Alligator mississippiensis: one gene and its partner. Each later gene encodes a partner of the first gene's protein in a complex. Links are inferred from orthologs where the notes say so. Each region holds a gene or a part of one and is shown in the gene's direction. Other genes may lie near its edges.

Region 1 (10,335 bases):
CCCATGATCAAATGTGGTCTGTTTTGCTTTGGCAGCCTGCACAGCAGATTGAGATGCTGCAGGACATAAGCTTTCATTGAAAGAAGCCTATTTTCTAGCTCTCGCTAAAAAGGTTTAAAAAATATTTAGCCCACGTATAACTGTTGCACAGCTGTCTTCTTGAATTTGCACACAGCCTGGAACAACAGCCAAAGAGATGCAAACTCTTCTTGGTCATCACCTTGTGGTGCAACTCCTGCATTCTCCTTCAAACGCCATGTTTAAATGACTGAGGTACTTTACTGGGAACTTAACTTGCACACCTACTACTAGGTGTTGCACAAATCAGTTAATTGCATGCAAAACAGCCAAATGACTAACATAACTTGCTCCCTCCATAAAATTAATATGGAACTCTTGCAAAGAGTGTAATATGCTTTATAGCTGGAATAACTGTGATGTAAATTAAGACATTAAGCGTGCCACGTCATCCCACCCTAATGTAGCACCAAAGGCAATAGTTTCTCTGGTCTCTTGTAAGCCAAAATGGGGCAATTTACTTTCCTCTTTCAGACACAAGGTGCACAGAGCAAATGTTTTCAAACCAACCCACACCAGCAGAGGGCTCCACTGAGATTTGGATAGAGGGTTTGGATGATGTATTTGCCTGCATGTCTAATAACCCTGCCTGCTTCTCATGTTAGACAATTGCATACACATTCGTTCTACCCATACAGACCAAAACAGTTCAGTGCTCTTTCCATTTATCCAGAACCCTGGGGAAGGCTCAATCCTAACCAGAAGGATGCTCTGGTTCTTCTACACCCCCTCCTTTTTTTTTTGGCAAAATAGATTTGCACAAAAGATTGCATGTGTTCTACTCCTCTCATCTCCCATTTAAGGTTTACAGAGCAATATGTATTTCAAAATGACCTGGTATGTCACAGTGGCAGCTATGCAGAATGTCCTCTCTGACTTTGAAAATTCATTAAAAGCTAATCGATGCTACCAAATTACACAGGGATATTGATTTCCATAGCACTTTCTGCCAGTGTTTCAGGGTAGTTTTCAATAAATAGTGTAGATTTAATTAAAACATAATAACATGAAAAAGCATAAAGGTATATGCCTCCCAAAGTCCCTAGCAGTCCTTGGGGAATACAAAAATCCCTTCTGTTCCTTGTCCTGAACTACTGTATAGAGTAGAGTATGCTTCTGTGCACTATTAAATGTAGTTCAGATAAATAATCCTTAAATAAGGCCAGGAATGATTAGCTGCAGATGAAAATTAAGTGACATGAGATGAGACGTGGACAAATAGCTTCTGGGCAGTGAAGAGCTGCTCTTAGCATGCTGAAGCTCTATTGACACAGGGGCTGTTCTTAAACCCTTCCAGCAGTATGGCAACAACCACACCATCTGTTCTTTGTGGACTCAGTACCAAGCAAGTGATAAATCCTAACTCTGCGCTCTCTCTGAGGACGCTTAGAGAGCTGCTTTGGGTATTTATTTTCCCCTTATCAAAAATAAAAAGGATAAAAAGTCTTGAACTAAGAGGCTGTACTCCAGGGGGTTAAAACACTCATTTGCCCTTGTACCTGAATCCAAAGTACAGTCTGCAAGTGCACACAGAGCACTTTGCAACAGCTAAACCAGTTGTGGATACACCCCAGCCTATCTGAGTTTAACTCTTGTGATCCTGAAAGGAAAGGATAACATCCTGTAATGGGAAGATCATTACAGATTTCACGCACGTTTGTAGTTCAAAGCAAACAGTCCATTCCCTCATGATGTTTGCTGTTTTCACCGGGTATCATGTCAAAACTGAAACTGCCTTGACCACACCAGGATGTTACCAATTGTTAGTTAACACAGGGTGCAAAACACAAACAGCAACAAAGAAACAGACCAACCAGCTAACCCAACCCACGCAATTCACGTTCCTCCTTAGATCAGAAAAAATGCCTTTTCATCCAAGTGCCTTATGGCTATCTTGGTTCTTTGGGTAGATGCGATATCTTTTATTAGACCAACTCAAAAGTTGGGGGGGAAAAGTTCTTTGCAAGCTTTTGGGCACAAACACCCTATGTCAGGCCTAGGGAGACTCTGCTGGTGTTGTGTGTAGAAAAGAAGCAAATTTACAACAAGCAGGTCTGTGAAAATGCAAATGAGTGGAAATTAGGAAGACAATGGGTAGAGATGGTGGGGAGGAAGGGAGGGAAATGTGTGGAGGAATGCAAGTGGTCAGCTGGAGGTAGGTTATCTGGGGTGTCAGATGTCAGGCAGGTTGTTAATCCAATGTCTATATTTAGTCCATGATTTTTTGTATCCAGTGGATTTATGAAGGGAAGCTCATGGGATGGTCTACAAAAGGTGTGTTGCAAATTCCCTTATAGCTTCCTTCTCAATATTTGCCCCTAAAGGTAAAAGAGATTATTGCTGCTATTTGTCCCTTCTCAGCTAGTTGGAGAAATAGCTCGATTAGTTTGTAATCTGTTTTTAGGACTGTACGTATGCTTTAAGTGTGAAAAAGTGTGAGGAAGCCAAGCTGAAGAGATAATTTATATTTATTTCTGCTCTATGTGAGAAAATTGGACTTTGTTAAATTGGCAAAGCTAGAAATCTACCCAATTACACAAAAGCTGTATAAAGGTCGCCAACATCTTGGCTCTAAACTGTGAGGCCTGATAGCATTCTTGGCTCAGTATTAATTGCTCTCCAGATCCTTTTTTTAGTCAGTGTCCTGCCAGCAGAGGTAACTTAGGGCTGAATCCACCTGTCATTGAATCCTAGCTATATACTGGCCTTTTGCGGACCCAATCCAGAATATTTTTGTTATGCTAGGTCTTTGAAACTCAGGTGCCTTTCCATCTAATGCCTGGTCCTGTGGTACTGGCTGGCTTCTTAATTTTGTCTTCAAACTCACAGTCTCTTCTGGAGTGTAGATGCATTACTTCAAGTACAACTGATCCAAGAAGCACTGCCAGTAATACTCTATTTGTCACCTCAGAGATAAGGAGGCAGTTGCATCCTACAATAATGGGAACCAGAGGGAGTACCATCTATGTTTAAGTGGCCTAACATAACCCCTGCATTTCTTGCATCTTTCTTTGAGAAGTTCTAGCCTCTCCATTTTTCACATTGAGCCTCTGAAATTCAAGAAAGGGAATCCCTTTGGGTGTAGACCTGTTTTCTTTGTACCTCTAAACAGCATCCAGGTTCAGCTGAATCATAAACTGTTTTTAAAGAGTGCCATTTCCTTCTTTTGCTCATACTCAGCAAAATCATGACTACTTTGCCCCGTTCATGTTGTTCGTGTATCTTCTTCAAAACAAGAAAAAAAGAAAAAAAAAAAAACCCAAATACCTCAAAAGGGTTTTCTTTCGCCTGCAAAAAATATTAATATAAGCTTCTGACTACAATTTCAAGTTAACATGTATGAAAAACCATTTTTTGGGCAAGGGAACAGGTTTCACATTTCAAGCTTGCAGGGAATTATGGAGGAAAGAAGTCGTAGCGATACAATGCAAGATACCTTAAAATCCTTTGAGCAGTTCTGGCCCTTGACAGACGTGAATCTGTTGGGATCTACTTTGAACTATAAACCTTTCAAGAATGTCCCAATCTCCTGCTAGTACCTGCAGAAAGCAATGTGCAGAATTACCCTATTTACTGCTGCAGAAATGCTATCTGGCTGCTTCTGGGCTGTCAGCATGGGGATCATATTTCATTTTGAAAGTAAATAAAAAGCTCTGCCCAGGATTGCTGGAGTTTATATAAACCCGAATTGGAAACTAAAAGGAGAAGAATCCAGCGAAAGATGTTTCTAAAGCAAAAATCAATCTTGCTGGTAAATATAGCAAGACCCAAGGGAACTGGAGGTCAGTGAGGAGCCAGCGCTCAGTTAGAAGGTACATGGGTCTCCAGTGAAAGTTGGATACAACCACAGCCAAGGAGTTAGTCATTTCACAAAACGGTGTTGCCAAACTGTGCATTATCTTGATGGATAAAACAACTTTTTGCCATCTGCAGCATACCATATGCAATGATCCTGCTGGTGTAACTGTCAGATTGTGCTTTGAAAATGGAACAGAAAGAAAGGCAAACAGACAGTATTGGATTTCTGAAAAAAATCCTAATTTCTAAACGATATAACCTTGAACAGTTTACAATTTGCTAGCACTGAGTGACATAGCATGATGGTCCAGGAAATAGGGAAGAGGGAAGGATTTTTGCTGGTGACACCTTTGACTGACCTAGTTGCACAGGCAGAATAGACTTAACTAAGCTTTCAAATGCAATGCGTTCTTCTTTGCATCATAATTTGCTGCTGGTTAAATAATCCTAATATGACTTTTAAAACAGACAAAAAAGTCCAGCAGCTGAGGAGGAAGTTTTAACTTAGTATCATACTTGCATAAGCAATTCTCAGTTTTACTTTATTTTACCCTCATTAGCTCCTGGAAATGAACTTCAGCTCTTCATTACCTCCCATGCACTCAGCACCACAGCTATAATTCAGGGACATGGGGACCCAAACAGGAAGGGGGGAAATGATGAACGTAATAGGGACTCTGAAACCTTTAGGAACAGAGACAGAAACAATTGCTACAGGGATCTTTACATGCTGATGTCAAGCTGCCATCTGCATTTTTCTCTAGGCAGAGACTGAGCAACCAGGATTCTCCTCTGTCCCAATTAACAGTTTACTCCAGCACCCTCCTTCCTGTTCATTCCGCTTCCTCACCTCAGTCTAAGGCAAGAAACCACAGGGGTGGGATGGGGAGCATAAAAAAAGTAAGTCTACAAGAGTACTTTACCAATTCCCCGTCTCCAAAGAGATTAGAAAGTTTGTGCAAAGATGATCCAATCCAAAACTAGACACAACATTCATCCGGGAAGTTCCTGGTGAAATTGTGTGGCTACTGGCCATAGCCTGTTTGCACAGGACTGTACCTTGCACATGTAATCAAAACCAACAGCTAGATCTGAAATAAGAAAAGCTTTCAGAGCTGTCACTTGCAGCCCAAGCAACACTGAACAAGCAGATCAAACGTTATCTAGAGCAAACGGTGCGAATCCAGTGAAACAAGAATTTCTTGGTACCAACAAAGTTTCAGCCCCAAGCTCAGGTCACTCCAGGTACTCCCACGAAGGAGCTCTCTTTGCTTGCACAGAAGCCGGGGGTCTTCAACGAGGCTCTGTATGGACACAGTCACCCACGAGGATCTTACTGAAGCATTGTCCCCAGTTTGTATGTAGGTCTGGAGTCTTTCCAGTGGAAAGGGATTTGCAATTTGGCAAGATCTCAGTTCGTAGTGGATTAGCAATAAAACAGTTTTAAATGTGTACACTCAGCAAAGAGGTTTGAGTTAGAAAGCATCTCCAAAACATGCGTCGTTGTGACCGCTATTCTACGCCACCTCCACCAAAACCCTGTTTGGGGGGGGGGTCCTTATGGTCTCCGAGAGCTAGATATTCTCCACCCTGCACGAAACTAAGAGCTGTCAGTATTGCTCCCCTTGCTCTCTGGGGAGTTGCACACTAAGAAATGTCTCGCCCAGAACGTGGTACGCTATTTCACGAGTTCAGAACTGGACGCAAGGTACAATTAGGGATCGGACACAAACCGTACACCTACTCAGAGAAGATCCTCTGAAGACAGAAGAGGACCCGCAGTCGACAGAAGAGCGCGACTGCCAATCTCGAGGATCCTGGAGAACTTGGACAACCTTTTCTCCGACGCCTCGCGAAGGGTCAAACGTTATCTAGGGCGAATGGTTCGAATCTGGTGAAACAAGGATTTCTCGGTACCAACAAAGTTTCAGCCCCAAGCCCGACAGCTTGCAATCAAACCATTTTTTGGGGTGGGGGTTTTTTTTGGCGAAAATCTCGGCGGTCTCGTAAAAGCTCTCATCTCTACGCTGGGTGACCGCTTAAAAACGCCGCGCACGAACTTGCCCATCCGAAGCGCGAGAAACCACGCCGCAAGCCGAGGTCGACGCGGGAACTCCCCGAGTCCAGGGTCCCAAACTGGCGCGGTCCCCAATGCGGGACCGGCGAAGGGTGTCACTCGCCAAGAAGCATCCGCATGGCTCTTTTGGGGCCGGTCGGTGCAACACCAGGCAGCCGGCCCGGCCGTGTCCTCCCGCGGCTGCCACCTGCTCCCGATGCAAGGATGTGTCCGGGCACAAAGAGAGGCAGCCTGGGGGTAAAGGCGATGCAGCGGTGACACCGTCCGGGCGCTGGGGCAGACCTGCCCCCTACCCCTGGCCGCGGGCGCTGGGACGGAGCCCGCCGTGTCCCCGGCCCTGTCCCTGTCCCTGTCCCCGGCCCGGCTGTTCTAGGCGGCGCGGCCCCGCCCGCCGTGCGCTGTTCCCGCCCGCCGCCGCCCCCCCCCCGCCGCCGCGCTCCGGACCCAAGATGGCCGCCGTGTCAGTTTCGGGCTTCGCCGCCGTCCGGCCGCCGCCGCCCGCCGCCCGCCGCGCGCAGGCCCCGGTGAGTGGCGGCGGGGGGGGCCGCGGGCCGGGCGGCGGGCAGGCGGCGGGGCGGCGGGCGCCGCGGGGGAGGCCGGCCCGGCGCCGCGGGCTCGCGGCCTGCTCCGGCCCCGCCGCCCGCCGCCGCCGCCGCCGCTCTGCGCCAGGCCCGGCCCGCGGCCCCCGCCTCCCGCGCCCGCCTCCCGCCCAGGCCCGGCCGCGCCGCGCCGCGGGGCCGCGGCAGGTGCAGGGCCGGGGGGCGCCGCCCGCCGCCTGGTGCCGAGCCCGCGGCGAGGGGCGGCCGCGCTTTGTCTGCCGCGGGCGGCGAGGCCGGGCACTCGGGGGGCTTCCCGCCCGTGCGGCCGGCGTCCTGTCACCCTCCGCCTCCCGGCCCCAGCCCCGGCGAGGGGACGCCCGCAGGTTTCCGCACAACTTTCTCCGCGCCGCCTTGGCGGGCAGGTGTCGCGGCTGCTTTCGGGACACGAGGAGGGGTGGCCGCGGCGCGCACCCCCCTTTCGCCGCGCGCCCTTTCGTGCCTACACCAGGCACAATGGGGGCGCTTTGGGGTCCGCCGTAAAACCCCGGCCGCAGACAAAAGGCGCCAGGTAGTCTTTCCTCAGTGCGTCGTCCGTCCCGACTCTCTCTGCTTGGGACTCGCCTTGGCTGGGCGGGAACAGCACGGCCTTGTCACCTTCGGCACTCGGTTGTGTCCCTGCACGCAAACGCGGTGTTTTTCTGTTTTCGCGACTTGGCGGTCTCCCGGGGCGGCGAGGGTGGTCTCGGGGAAACTTTGTGAGGCGTCCGTCCGTCCGTAGGATGGCGGAAGTCAGATTTAGGCTTGTGACTTTTTTTGCTCAGAAATTACTCCGTCCCGTTTTCTTGCAGGCGTAACATTCCAGTTCTCTTTCCGATCGCGGTGCGGGAGTCCCGAAGCGAGGTAAGATGTGCTTTGACAGCTTTCCAGCTTTGCCAGGCTTGCCGCGGGAGCGGTGGTGGGATCTGTTGGGAAGCGTGGATCAGCTCCTAATGGGATGTGTTGTGTTTCTTTCAGTTTTAAGAAAATTTAATATTGGATCAAAGAGAAGCAGTTCATATCAGAAACGTGTATGCTATGGTTAGCTGGTTACTCTCCTCCGAGAATCTGTTTTCCCACGGTGTGAAAATTGTGCAGCATCGGGATAAGGGATAACGACTCTATGGATATACAGAAGTCTTCACCATGGTAAAACTCGCCAACCCGCTGTATACTGAGTGGATTTTGGAGGCGATTAAAAAGGTCAAGAAGCAAAAACAACGCCCTTCAGAGGAGAGGATATGCAATGCGGTGTCTTCATCCCATGGTTTGGACCGTAAAACTGTTTTGGAACAACTAGAATTAAGCGTTAAAGATGGGACTATTTTAAAAGTCTCCAACAAGGGTCTCAATTCCTACAAGGATCCCGATAATCCGGGGAGAATAGCACTTCCGAAGCCTCGAAACCATGGCAAGTTGGATGGTAAACCAAACGTGGACTGGAATAAACTGATCAAACGGGCAATCGAGGGCTTGGCGGAGTCCAGTGGCTCATCCTTGAAAAACATAGAGCGCTTTTTGAAAGGTCAGAAGGACGTGTCTGTGTTGTTTGGAGGTAGCGCTGCTTCCGCTTTTCACCAGCAATTGCGACTAGCTGTCAAGCGTGCTGTTGGCCATGGCAGACTCCTTAAAGATGGACCTCTCTACCAGCTCAACACTAAAGCAGTTGCTAATGCTGACGGGAAGGAAAGCTGCGAGTCTCTTTCCTGCCTGCCACCTGTGTCGCTTCTTCCCCATGAGAAGGATAAGGTAAGAGCCTCGGAGCTGACGAAATAGGGTGTAAAGGCTCCAATTTTGAGGTCAGTATTTCATTATGCATCAGATAAGTTGGAAATGGTCTGGGGCCTGTGGTGAATCTTTAAGTGGATGGAGGTTTCTTTTTCTTTCGCATGCTTCTGAAAGTGCTTGAAAATGATCTTGTCCCATTCACTTTCAGACTCAGTGCAGGGGAGTTCGTAGCCACTTTCAAAAAGCATTTCCATTTCCTTTTTTTTAATTTTATACATACGAGTCCTTAGTGCCTCTCGGATTACTTTGACACTTCAGGCAGAGCACTTGGCTGTGGCCTAGCCAGATCTGAGGCTTGGAAGACTGCAGGGTATATAGATATGTGTTCTAATACTCATTTTCTATCACTTTTTGCCATTACTGAAGATCCATGGAGGGTTATGACGGTAAGATGGTGTAGACCACAGCATTGCCCTTTGCAGGACAAAAGAATATAGGCCTGTGCTGAGCACCTTTCAGTGACACTACAGGTAAAAAGCCAGCAGCTTCTTCATACAGTTGCTTGGTTATCGCATCGAGCATTACTAGAGCCTGTAGCTTTTGTTACCAGACCAGTGTAATCAAACTTTTTTGTGACAAGACCTAATGCTGATAGAAATGGAACCGGTGGTGGTAGCAGTAGGAAAATACTATTAAATAAAATCTTGATGTCAACACAACCTGAGAGCAAGACTAGTCATTAGAAATAGCTTTACACTCATTCTACTGTATGCACCCATTCATTTAGTCTGATCATTACAAGGGGGTGTCCTTACGATGAGGTGGGATACCAAAAATCCTGTCCCTTTCTGTACTCCTCAAGTATGCTTCCGTGCAAAACAGCAATTTTAAAATTTTGGTCAAGATTTTAAAGTGCGTGTATGTGTGTGTGTGCATGTTTGTGCGCACACATCCCCATTCACCTCAAACATCAGATATTGTTGCATTTCCTGGTAGCTACTCAGATTTGGAAGGAACTCCACGAATATTCAAAACATATAAAGAGTATTAGAAACAGTGTGCTGTGTTGAGTCGTTTCTTCTGTGACTCTCGCCCTGTTCATAAAATGTAAGGTCATATAGCTGTTTACTGTCATGTTAAAATATCTTCACAGTCCTACTAGTTTTAATTTGGCTGCATCTCAGAAAGGAGAGCTGAACGATACCTCGAGGTCACCTAGTCTAGGGGTTTTCAACCTTTCTTCATTTGTGGACCCCTAAAAAAATTCACATGGAGGTGCGGACCCCTTTGAATTGTAAGTGTGGGTATTTGCATACTATTGATTGATCAGAATCATCTTTCCCGGACCCCTTAGACATAGTCTGTGGACCCCCGGGGGTCTGCAGACCACAGGTTGAAAACCACTGACTTAGTTTATCCCCCTGCCCCAAGGCAGGGTCAGCTATACGCGAACTCTTTCTGACATTTATCCAACCTATTCTTGAAAAGTCTCCAGCGATCGAGGTTTTGTAACATCTCATGACATAAAGCCACAAGGAGCTAGGATCACTGGGAGGGATGTACCTGCAGTGTGCAACAAAGGCAGGGCGATCAACTTACGGACTGATATAATTGCAGGGACAACAAATGCTGTAGTAGCAATCCTGCTTTAAATGTAGTTTATCTCAATTTTAGTGTCTGACGGATGCTTTGGTTCCTTTGCTCTAGTATTTTTGTTTTAATGAAGCTGGTGTACCCTAAAGATATTGATTGCTAGCACTGGATGCTTGAGTTACTTTATCCACAGAACAAGTGCAGGGTATGTGGGGTTTTCCAGGCAGACCTTCCTTTGATTGATGTGGTGGGTCAATCTCTAAGGGTGAGGAAGTTCAGTCTCCATATCCAGGTCAGGTTATGGGCTTGCTGCAGAAACTACCAACAGGTGTACTGCTCATTAGAATCTGCTGGGATTTGTGAGATGTGAAGACCTGTATAGGGGTAGGAACTGCGCCGAGTTTCAGACTCAGTTTTGTTTGCAAAGACCATTTGCTTGAGTTACCCACTTGTTTTGTCCTGGTGAAATCATAGGAACTCTTCATC
Region 2 (10,247 bases), on another chromosome or scaffold:
GAAATCAAATCGAAGGCAGGTCTGAGGTTTAGAGGAAGAACTCTGCACAGTTTGCTTTTCATAAGCTTCCCAAGAAATAATTTTGTAGGTGGACTAAAGTTCTTAAATTGTTATGCTCTTCTAGTCCCAAAAAGTTTCAGTGACACACAGGAGTGATCATCTCCAGCAGTCCTACCCTACTCCTAAAAAAACACAGTTTAAGGAGAAACTGTTCAACCACTGCCTAAAATCCCTAGGGCTGCCCAGGAACTCCTAACTTCATTATCTCTTGCTCATACTTCTATTTAGAAACCCTTGGATTCTTCTTTTAAAGGGTAGAAAATGTGGCACTCCTCTCAAAGGATGTTAGTAAAACACATCTATGTAATAGGATGGGGAAGAAAAGATTGAAAACATCAACAGATGCAATTATACATACTACAGAGCCATAAGGACAATTCTGTCCAACACAATTAAGAAAGTAAGTAGTGGACTGTACAAAGAGCGAGTTATACCTTTAGAACACCTTACAATGAACTACTGCAATACCTTTTATGAATGAGCATGTATCTTATACAGGGAGACACAGAGGGGAGAAGTTAAATGCCTTCCATAAAGCCAAAGTAGGATTCAGAATAAGGATTGTGTGGGAGACACTGAGCACAATACCATCTTGTATACCAAAAAAGAAATCACAATAAGGCACCCCCCTGTAAAATGGAATCAAAACACTTCAGCCAAAGTGATTCGTTCCTAGTTCTCCCACATACTGGGTGAATGTTATAATCACTCTTCTAGTAAACCAGAATCTAATAACCACTGTATCTGACCAGACATCTTTCTCTTCCCTGCTGGTTTTGTGAATGATGCCTAACCTTTATTTCCATTGTTCTCCTTTTTCCTGAAATAAACATGAAACATGTTGTTTGGGACCAAACCAAACATCCCAGTCAGCCCCAAATAATTGATTTCTGTTTTTAACTTTTTATAGTGATTGGACTGTAGGACTCCAAACCCACAAAATAAGATATTTTTTCATACAATATAAATCAACTAATGAACATAAAAGACGAGAAAAATAAACATCTTTTGAAGTACAGCAAAAGCTCTGTTATCCGGCACTCATGGAGAATGGGGGGGTGCCGGATAACCAAATATGCCAGTTACCCGAGAGGTGCGAACAGGCATCTTTGCCTGTTCGGGCCACTGCCCCTCCCGCTGTGCCCAGTACACCGCTGCCCCTCCCTGCCATCAGTGTGCTGGAGGACAGGGAGGGGGGACCCCCACGCAGGCTGCTCCGCCCCAGGCCATGGTCCAAAGTTGGCCAAAGTGGGACTTCCGATTTTGCTTTTGCTGTGTCGATCGGCATGCTGGTTAACAGAGCATGTGCCAAATAACGCAGCTTTTACTGTATACTAGATTTTGAATGTAATAATAATCAGGCGCAATTACTACACATTTCTATTCTGTCACCATAGCATTAACTTGAAATTCAATGTTTCCTGCATTTTCTTACAAATTCAAAGAACAGCAACTGAGAATCACTAAATCTAAAAGTGTAAACCCAAGCCCATTTTCCAGTTAAAAGGAGTCCATGGATTAAGTTTTGGGTTTCAACTTTAACCAGTGAATGTTCAGAGATTATTTGTATATTTACTAAGGCAGAAAATTAGTGCTTTCAATTCAAGAGGTATTCCTTCAATTACAAATCAAGTGAAGTCTTAACTTAGCAGAAATTTGCACAGCTCCAGACAAAGCAGACATATTTCAGTTGAAATGGCTAGTTAATTTGTGCAAAATACAACACACATTCAGTTATAAAAATGAATCCATAAAATTGCAAAGAATGATTAGTTTTCATTCCTGCATATCACTACTCAAGTTATTAGAAAAAAAATCAATTAAACAATACATTTTCTGGTTCAACTAATAAAGAACATAATATGTAATAGTTATATTTTTTGTGCCAGCATCTACTGTGAACTGTGATGCAGTTAACAAAGATTAACACATTTTAAAACAACATGCTTGTTTAAGATTTCAGAATAGATTATGTTTTTTTAATTAAATCTTGGACAAGCAAAAAGTACGTTGTCAAATTCCAGGATGTTTTCTTATTCTCTTTATGACATCCTAACATCATTAATTCTCCACTGAAGAATACTACAAGATACCACAAAAGAAAGTGCATCCAAAGCTTATTCTGTTTTTAAATAATAACAACACAAAGGTAACCTTATGTCTAATATATTTTTGAATCTTTACTCCCCAAAATTCATATAAATTCCTATCTTTGAATCACTTAATTGCTCAACCTGTTAACGCAGCAGCTGAAATTAACACATTTCCACAACTGCACAAATTTCCATTGATGCTAATAATGCAGGCACAAATAGCCCTAATGGAACAGATAGAAGGCAATTTTACCAAAGAGATGAGGAAAAAATTACTAGGAAAAGTTATTTTCAAATAGTGTACAGAATTTCCTGCTTGATAATATTAGAAATAACCCTATGTAGGGAACTTACAATGCCAAGTTATGGGTTCAGTATAGAACTGCTGTTATATTCTATTCATGTTCTTATACATTATGACAGCATCTGATTTTACCTAGCCTGCTTTATGCCGAATGCTGAACTAAGACATGATCATAGTGTTCTTCACGAAAATCTTTCTAACATTTACAGCTGTTCAGGTTACCACTGTTTATGTAAATAGTTTTCTTTATTTTCTTTCAGAGTACAAAGAAGCAACACAAACTAAATATGCCCCGTTTGCAATATGGAATAAGACAAGACTCACAGCCAAACTCAAATTGTATCTCCTCATACTGGTCAGGGGATAAAATTGAGGAGTTTGCCCCTCTTGTGCAGTTTCCCTGGCACTTGTGCACAGAACAGCAGTAAGGGGCAGCAGGCTGGAGTGTGTTCAGGAAAATAAGAAAGAGCATTCATAAAGAGTTCATGCCCTTTAGTCCCAACCTATCTTTTTCCCAAAACAGTTCTCAAAAAGTAGTCTTTCATGCAGTTGTGGAAAACTAGGGGAGGAAAGAGAGAGTACAAATGCAAGCGTGCAAGAGTTGTAGCCTGGAAACCATCAAAAGAGGATCAGTTATTTTCCCATAATCTAAAGAAGGGGGTTTCAACCTTTTTAAATAAGTGTACCCCTGGCGGCCGGACATGGAACGGGGCAGGGGGAGAATTGCCTGCAGCCAAAAGCAGAGTGGGGCAGGGTGGGTTGTGGCGTATGGCCGAAAGCAGAGCAAAGGTGCGGGGTGATGGATGGTGGCAGGACTACTCCTAGTCCTACTCCTATTCCAACTATTCCTAGTGGACCTGTTGTAAGCCTCAGTTATATCATCTGTATTACAGTACAGTAGTGCCTAGCGGGTTCAGACAAGGCCCAGGGTTCCATCATGCTAGCTGCTACACAAATATGTAACAAGCCACCAGTTCTTACCCCAGGGAGCTTGCAATCCAGGCTTATGACAAGACAAAGCAGGTGAGTGGAATAAACAGAATGAAGATTTTAGCATCCTTTTATCACAAATCGCAAGCTTCAAACATATGATTATCTAAATTGCTCATCCCAGAATCTTTTGTGGGGATGTAATTTCATTTGTTTTCCATTTACTTCACATTTTGTCTACACTGTAAAGGAAAACCTCCCAAGCTCCCAATATCTGTTAAACTACAAACATGCTAGCAATACTGGCAGTCTGGCTGCGGATGGTTCTTAGACTCTAGCAGGAAGTTTTCACACCGTGTCAGTTACTCTTGTTCCCAGCAGGACAGTTTTCCATGCTAGAAAGGACCACACTTCTCATTCAAATATCAATCAGAAAATAATCTTCTTGCCTAAGAAAGAAGTGACACCAATGTGTATTTCTATTTCTCCGTTATATCTACTGCATAATGTTCCAGGTTTCCCTTACAAGTCTCTTTCTGAAAAATAAACTCCATGTTCAATTATTCTCAGAGAAGACTTCCCCCTCTTCCCCGCCTCCCCATTTTGAAAAAAAAAAAAGAGTTTAATACACATTGGGAGGAGCAGAAAGAAGTTCCCCAGACTTTCGTGCTGCCCCAACCAGACCCCATAAACCCCTAGGTTATGGTGGTCCCATCTTTCAAGTGAAATGCTACAGACTCTTAAAGAGAAAGAGAGGGATTATGGTCACTTTTCCTTTCTTTTACAGGGCATAAGGGATCCTGAAAACTTGTCTGCTTTAAGAGAAGCAGCCAGGATGCCTTCCATCAAACTTCACAGCACTATTCATAAGGCAGGAGGGCTCACAATTGATGCCACACCTGCCCTCAAGCATCCTCTACTATTTTGACATTTGGTCTCTTGTCAAATTCAAAGCAGGGAAGAGAGAGCGAGGGAAACCCCAGCCTACAGCCTACCCCGCCCCAGCAGAAAGACCAGTGACTTCTGCAGACAACTCCAAGCCTCAAAGATTGTACTCTTAAATTCCTTCCAGACCCACCAGCGAGCCCTAATTAGACCGTGCTCCAATCCCTGCCACCCCCAAGAACAAAGTACCGAGAAGGGAGGAGAAGAGGAGCTGGCGTTTCGCAGCCCATGTTGGTCGTGCGACTTCAGCGCATTGAGGGGTCAGCGCTGGCGCAAAGCCGCTCCTTCCTGCACGGGCCACTGCGCCCCTCAGCCCGCCCGCGCGGGGGAGATGGGCAGAAAGCCAGTGCCCAGCGCGGCTGTCAGCGCCCGGCCCCCTGGGGCCGCACCTGGCGCCCCGCCACGGGCCATCTTAGCTGGGCCCGGCCCGGCCCGGCCCAGCCACATGGTCACTCCTACAGCGCCGGGCTCCGAGGCCTCGGCGCGGGCGCGAGCTGGCCTCGCGCGCGCAGAGCAGAGCAGAGCAGGGCAGGGCAGGGCAGGGCAGGCGGCTCCCACACAATGCGGCCGGGCCGGCCCGGGCCGCGCCGCCAGGGGACCCCGCCACCCCGCCACACAATGGGCGAGCGAGCCCCGGCCCAGCCCACCACTTCCTGTGCCCTGGCCGCACGTCCCCGGCGCGGAGCCCGGGCCAGGGCCTGGCGCCGCGGCTCGGGCAGCGGCAGCAGGAGGCGGCGCGGGCAGCCGACCCCGGCAGCGGCAGCCCCGGCTCGGAGCGCCCCGCGCCAGCCCGCGGCCCCGCTCACCTCGCCCGCCCGGCCGCGCCCGAAGGGGTTCCGGGGACGGGTCGTGCCGGGCCGCCCCATTCATCAGCCGGCGCTTTGTCTCCGCCGCCGCGACGCTACTCAGCCTGCCCGGCTCGGCCGCCGCCGCCTCCACTGCGCAGGCGCGGCACGGCGCGGGGCGGGGCTGGGCTGGGCACGTCGCGGAGCGGCCGCACGCACGGCGCGTGACGTGGCCCCGGGGAACGGCCACAAAATGGCGGCCGCGGCGCCGGTGGGGGGAGGGGCCCATCCTAGGGCCGGCAGCGGCGTGGAGATGAGGGGTCCTGGGCGGGTCGTCCCGGAGCGGAGATAACGGGCCGGTGAGTGCGGGCGTCCCCACAGGAGGCTGGGACCGTGCTGCTCCGCCGGGCTGGGGGGAGGGCCGCGAGGTGCTCGGGCGTTTGCAACCCCGCCCCGCCTCTTTGGAGTTCGCGCCTGTTCCCTGCTCATCCCTTCCACCGGAGCACGTTGTCTGCCCAGGTTTACAAAACGCGTGCCCTAGTGCCCTGTTTCGGAGTGACAGGCATCGGCTGCTAGTTTGTAACCCAAACTTACTACAACAAAAAAGATGTAGGAAAAGACGCTCTCTTAAAACACCTACGAGAGCTTTTTCGTTCTTACAAAATCGTAACAGATGCGTCTGGCTCCCCTGGATGAGGTTCAGATGTTAAAGAAGCTGATAAGGATACCTGAAAGACCAGTAACCACCTTTCACGGTAGCCAAGGAGTTTGCTTTGACTAGCGCATCTGGTGATGCAGTCAGAAGTAGTTTTTAAAGAAAAAGTAAATTCTCTGTATTTACTTAGCTGCTGTGCAGGCTCAGTGCTACTTACATCTGTGATGCTTTCAGTGCATCTATTAACACATCCAACTATCGAATACCAAACTTGATGTTCTGAAAACTCATCCGCTCCCCTAGAGCAGCGGTTCCCAAACTCCGACAGATCGCCCACCAGCAATTTAAAACCATACAACCTTAAGTACTACCAGCAATGTTTTCAGTTCAATCTTAAGTACCAGTAGCAAATTTTTGTCGTGTAAAATAATTATAACAAATCTGTTAACACATACCCCTGGCAGGTTGTCTGAGTACCGCTACCGCTGCCCTAGAGTATTTCAAAAGACAAGTTGGCAGCACTTTCTGAACCCAAGTCCATGTCCGTAAGAGCCAGGTGCCTCCTTCCAATCTATGACCATTCCTTTTATGTTGAGTTGATGCTAAGCTTTTATGTCTCGCTATCTCTAAATAATAGCTCCTCTTTTTTCCTCAGATCTTTTCTAATGAAGAAATGTCATCTATTCATCTCTCCTTTTAAAGTTTGAATTTATTCCAAATTTCTTCATAATTGTTAGCTCCTAGAGTTGTATTTTCCTTCAGGTGTTCCTCAAACTTTCTGGTTTAGAGGCAGAAGATGATATTTTTTTAAATAGCAAAATCCAATGATTTCTGCCAAATTTCTAAGTAAGCACCCTTTTTTTCTTCTCCCTTGTAGAGCCCCAACACTGCCTTGAAAGGGCGGTTTATCTGTTACTTAGTTTCAAGAGGTTTGGGAAGTCTAAACAGTGATTTTGGGGGGGGGGGGGTTCACTTCTCTTCTGGATCTTTGCAATTAATTGCATCCACTAGAAGATGAGTGAACATTGATCAATTCCTTTTGACACTTACGTTGCAGAGGTCTCAGGAAGGTTCAGTAAGCTGTAACTTTTTCTACAGTTTGTTTATAGGCTCTGTTGGAAATATTAAAATATGTTGAAACCTTCATAAAAATAGGTGTTGTTTGTTTTTTTTTCAAATTATTTCCTAGGTAACTGGGAAGAAAATCGCCATATAGTCATATTTCTCCGTGGCTGAAATCGCTAGACCCTTTCTTCTGTTTTGCACCAGTGTACTGGAAGTCTGGGACAGAAAGTGGAACTTGAATGTTTTGACAAGATTGTTATCTAACACTGTCAGGAAAAAAAGTTATCCTATGCTCACAGAGTCAATATGAAGCTTTCCTAAGATAAGAACATAGTGATTTGTTAGTCTGGTAGTAGAGAAAGAGTTAACCACGAGGTGACAAAAAGGCTCCAAACTGCAAGGTTTTAGTGATAGATGAAGAAAGAAAAGCAGAACATTTGTATCTACACTTGAGACCTGGTAATCTCCTTGTAGGAACCTATTGTAATTTAAAAACTTAAATGAAATGCATACAAAATGCAAAGAGTGTAGTTCTGTTGCCATTGAAATAAATGGCAAAGCTGTTACTGATTTCAGCTCTGAAGCACTGGGCTTTAATTATGGAAAACCACCTACATACTTAACAAACACCTTTGGGACACTGTTAGCATATGTATGCAAGAAGTAAGCTCCAAACAGGATACAGACAAGTTACCAGTATGGGACTTAGAGGAGAATTGCACCAGTATGCTTTGAAAAGATTAAAGTGGGTTTTACATTGCCTTATCTTAAAAAATAGTTTGTCATACCCAGGTAGGATTTTTTCCCCAAAATTTCTTATCAAATTCTAGTTCATAACTAATTTGGATATAAGAAAAACTGATGATAGTGGTTTAAATTGTGTGGAGTTTTGTACAGATGGTGATAGATTATCCTAGTTTGCCTTCTGTCCTTAAAATCTATTAATCACTTTTGAGAAGTGACTCTCTGAATTTAGGATGATTAGAATGACCCTACTGAGCTAAGGTATGCTGGTGATTTGATGGCTTGATGAACTTCAAACCAGTTTCCTGCTGACAGATTTTCTCAACTGTGACTTCTTCTCTGGCAGGTCCTGCATAACAGCCAAATTATACAGAATTAGTTTTTCTCCATTCAGTGCTATAGAACTCTGAGACTCCTCAAGTGATCTTAAGTCATCTTTCTTTTTCCCTCCAGCCTTTCCTTTTCAGTTTCTATGCTTATTTCAAGATTCCTGTTGAAGATTTACCTCCCTTTGGATTTCATAGTCCGTGGGACCTGTTGTTGCTATGTTCTTTATGGTTCTGAATTCAAATCATAAAATTATTTTTGGCACATGGGTCCTGTATGTCTTTTAATATCCTCAGTATGTGATATGGAGTGTGTAGAGGCAATTTTGAAAGGCTAATTCTTGGGATCTGCTAGGGGTGCTCTTTGGAAATTTAGGAGCTTTGTTGGGTTGTCTCATTTCTGTCTCCCAACAGCTCTCAGTATGTGACGTGACATAGCACTTTAAAAAAAATTCTTAAAATCTTGATGAAATTCTGATTATTTCAGCAACAACCTCTGTGATCTATTAATGTAACTAATTAAATAAATAGGGAAATGCACAATTAAGATAAGCTGAATTCTCTTCTGTTTTCTTTTCTTTCACCATCAGAGAATTGGGCAACATGATCCTAAACAAACACTGGTGCACCTTCTGTAGTTGCAAACCTTTAACCTTTTTATCATTGTTCAGTGAGTAGCCATAATCCCCTATTTACTGCACCTTATTCAAACCCTGCTCTGAAGACACTTTTAATTTTCATATTAGGTCGTCTTCTGCTCTCATCACTTCAGTATCTGAATGCTTCACAAACATTGATGCTTTATCTTGACACACGTGAAGCATGAGGTGTTATTACCTTCTCCCCACTCCCCTAGATGGATTGTTTAGGCACAGAGAGGTTAAAATAAAAAGTTTCTATTAATCTGGGATGCTTAATTTGAGATTATTAGGATCTGATTTTTCCAAGTACCTGAAAAATGTTTGATACCTTTCCCATTGACTTCAGTTTGGGAAGTGTGGGTGCTCAGCACTTCCACAGGTCCTGCTCCAAGGCCTCAATTTGGACATCTAGAAAACAAGGAAAATGAAATTGCTAACCACCCAAGGAATGTTCTTTTAGGCACTTGCTTAGTAGCACATTAGGGACTCTGCGGCAGAAGTAGAATCCAGCTCTCCAGGTGACTATTCACTTGCCTTAACCTTGAGACAATGCAATCCTCTTTTTACTCAGTGCCCACCTTCAGAGTAGTCTGTACCAAACCCACAATATTTACAAGACTGAGAAAAGGGTGTGGGATGTCCTCTGACTGGATCCTGTTTTTGCTCCTTGGTACCTCATGTTTAGGAAGAATTCCTCTGGGAAGGATCTCCCGGTTCCTTGGACCAGTATTTATTAATACTAGGTCCTGTTGGGGGTTCTTTGCTCAGTGTCTCCTTCTAGATCCCTTCTCTTGGACATGTGACTTCCTTTTCCTTTTGCATCATCATTTTGTTGCACAAATACCCACCAGTTCTAGGTAGGCCTAGACCCTTGACCCAGGTTTTTCATGATGTTCCCCTTGCCACTTGTGCATTAAATAAAATCAGGTTTCTAGTAGAAACACCAGATACTTTCATTGCACATAGTGTTGATTCATCCCCAGAGCATGTACATCTGTATGTTAAATGAGGCTGATCTGGAAAAATGTGTAATTAAAAACAATCAAAATTATATGCACAAGGAAACATGTCATGGACAGCATTAATTGTATATTCCTTAATTCTTAAGTGTTTAAGGTTTTTTTAATATATGGGTGTTTGTATGTGTAATTTCCTAATATATTAAAAAAGCAAAATGAAAAGAAATTTGTTATATTTACATTTTCCACTTGAATTAATGAATGAATGGTTTCACACAGGTTTGCCAACAGCAAAGGAATGGTAAAACACTCATTGGCCTGTTCTCTTGAGTTTGTAGGAGAATGGGCTTTTGAGGACACTAACTCTTAGCTGTTTCTCTTAAGCTTGTACCCTTCTTTGTCCCCTCCAGCCTGTCACCATTATCTTTTTGCTGCCCTTGACACCTCAGTCCCATTCGCCTTGCTTTTCTATTGTTAATCTGTGCTTCTCAGGCATTTCATTCCTGTCCCAGCCTTCTTTGCTCTTCAGATTTGCTGGCAAAATCTCAATCTCTCAATTCCCAGCTTCTTTCCTCTCTTATCTTGCCCCAGTCCCCTTGGCCAGCCAATCTCAGCTTCTTGCTTCCCTTTCTTGTCTCATCTCTCCCCTCTCCTCTGTGGCTCCCCACCCTAGCCTTCTCCTGGGGCCCCTACACCTTGTTGCTGTAGTCTTTCTCTTCCCTTGCTTCTTTCTCAGGCTG

What was found. The genes of interacting proteins can lie anywhere in the genome.
Region 2: KAT6A (region 1) and BRD1 share a complex: the UniProt entries of both Homo sapiens proteins name them as parts of the MOZ/MORF complex. The link is inferred for Alligator mississippiensis from reciprocal best matches to the Homo sapiens genes KAT6A and BRD1.

Annotation. Positions count from the first base shown.
Region 1 is NC_081830.1:17,271,743-17,282,077, forward strand, and holds the start of KAT6A (histone acetyltransferase KAT6A), read left to right. Parts: upstream 1-6,380; 5' UTR 6,381-6,477; intron 6,478-7,040; exon of another isoform or gene 7,041-7,060; intron 7,061-7,340; 5' UTR 7,341-7,392; intron 7,393-7,506; 5' UTR 7,507-7,674; coding exon 7,675-8,277; intron 8,278-10,335. UniProt on the Homo sapiens protein: Histone acetyltransferase that acetylates lysine residues in histone H3 and histone H4 (in vitro). Component of the MOZ/MORF complex which has a histone H3 acetyltransferase activity. May act as a transcriptional coactivator for RUNX1 and RUNX2.
Region 2 is NC_081827.1:37,035,873-37,046,119, reverse strand, and holds the start of BRD1 (bromodomain-containing protein 1), read left to right. Parts: upstream 1-5,380; 5' UTR 5,381-5,476; intron 5,477-10,247. UniProt on the Homo sapiens protein: Scaffold subunit of various histone acetyltransferase (HAT) complexes, such as the MOZ/MORF and HBO1 complexes, that acts as a regulator of hematopoiesis.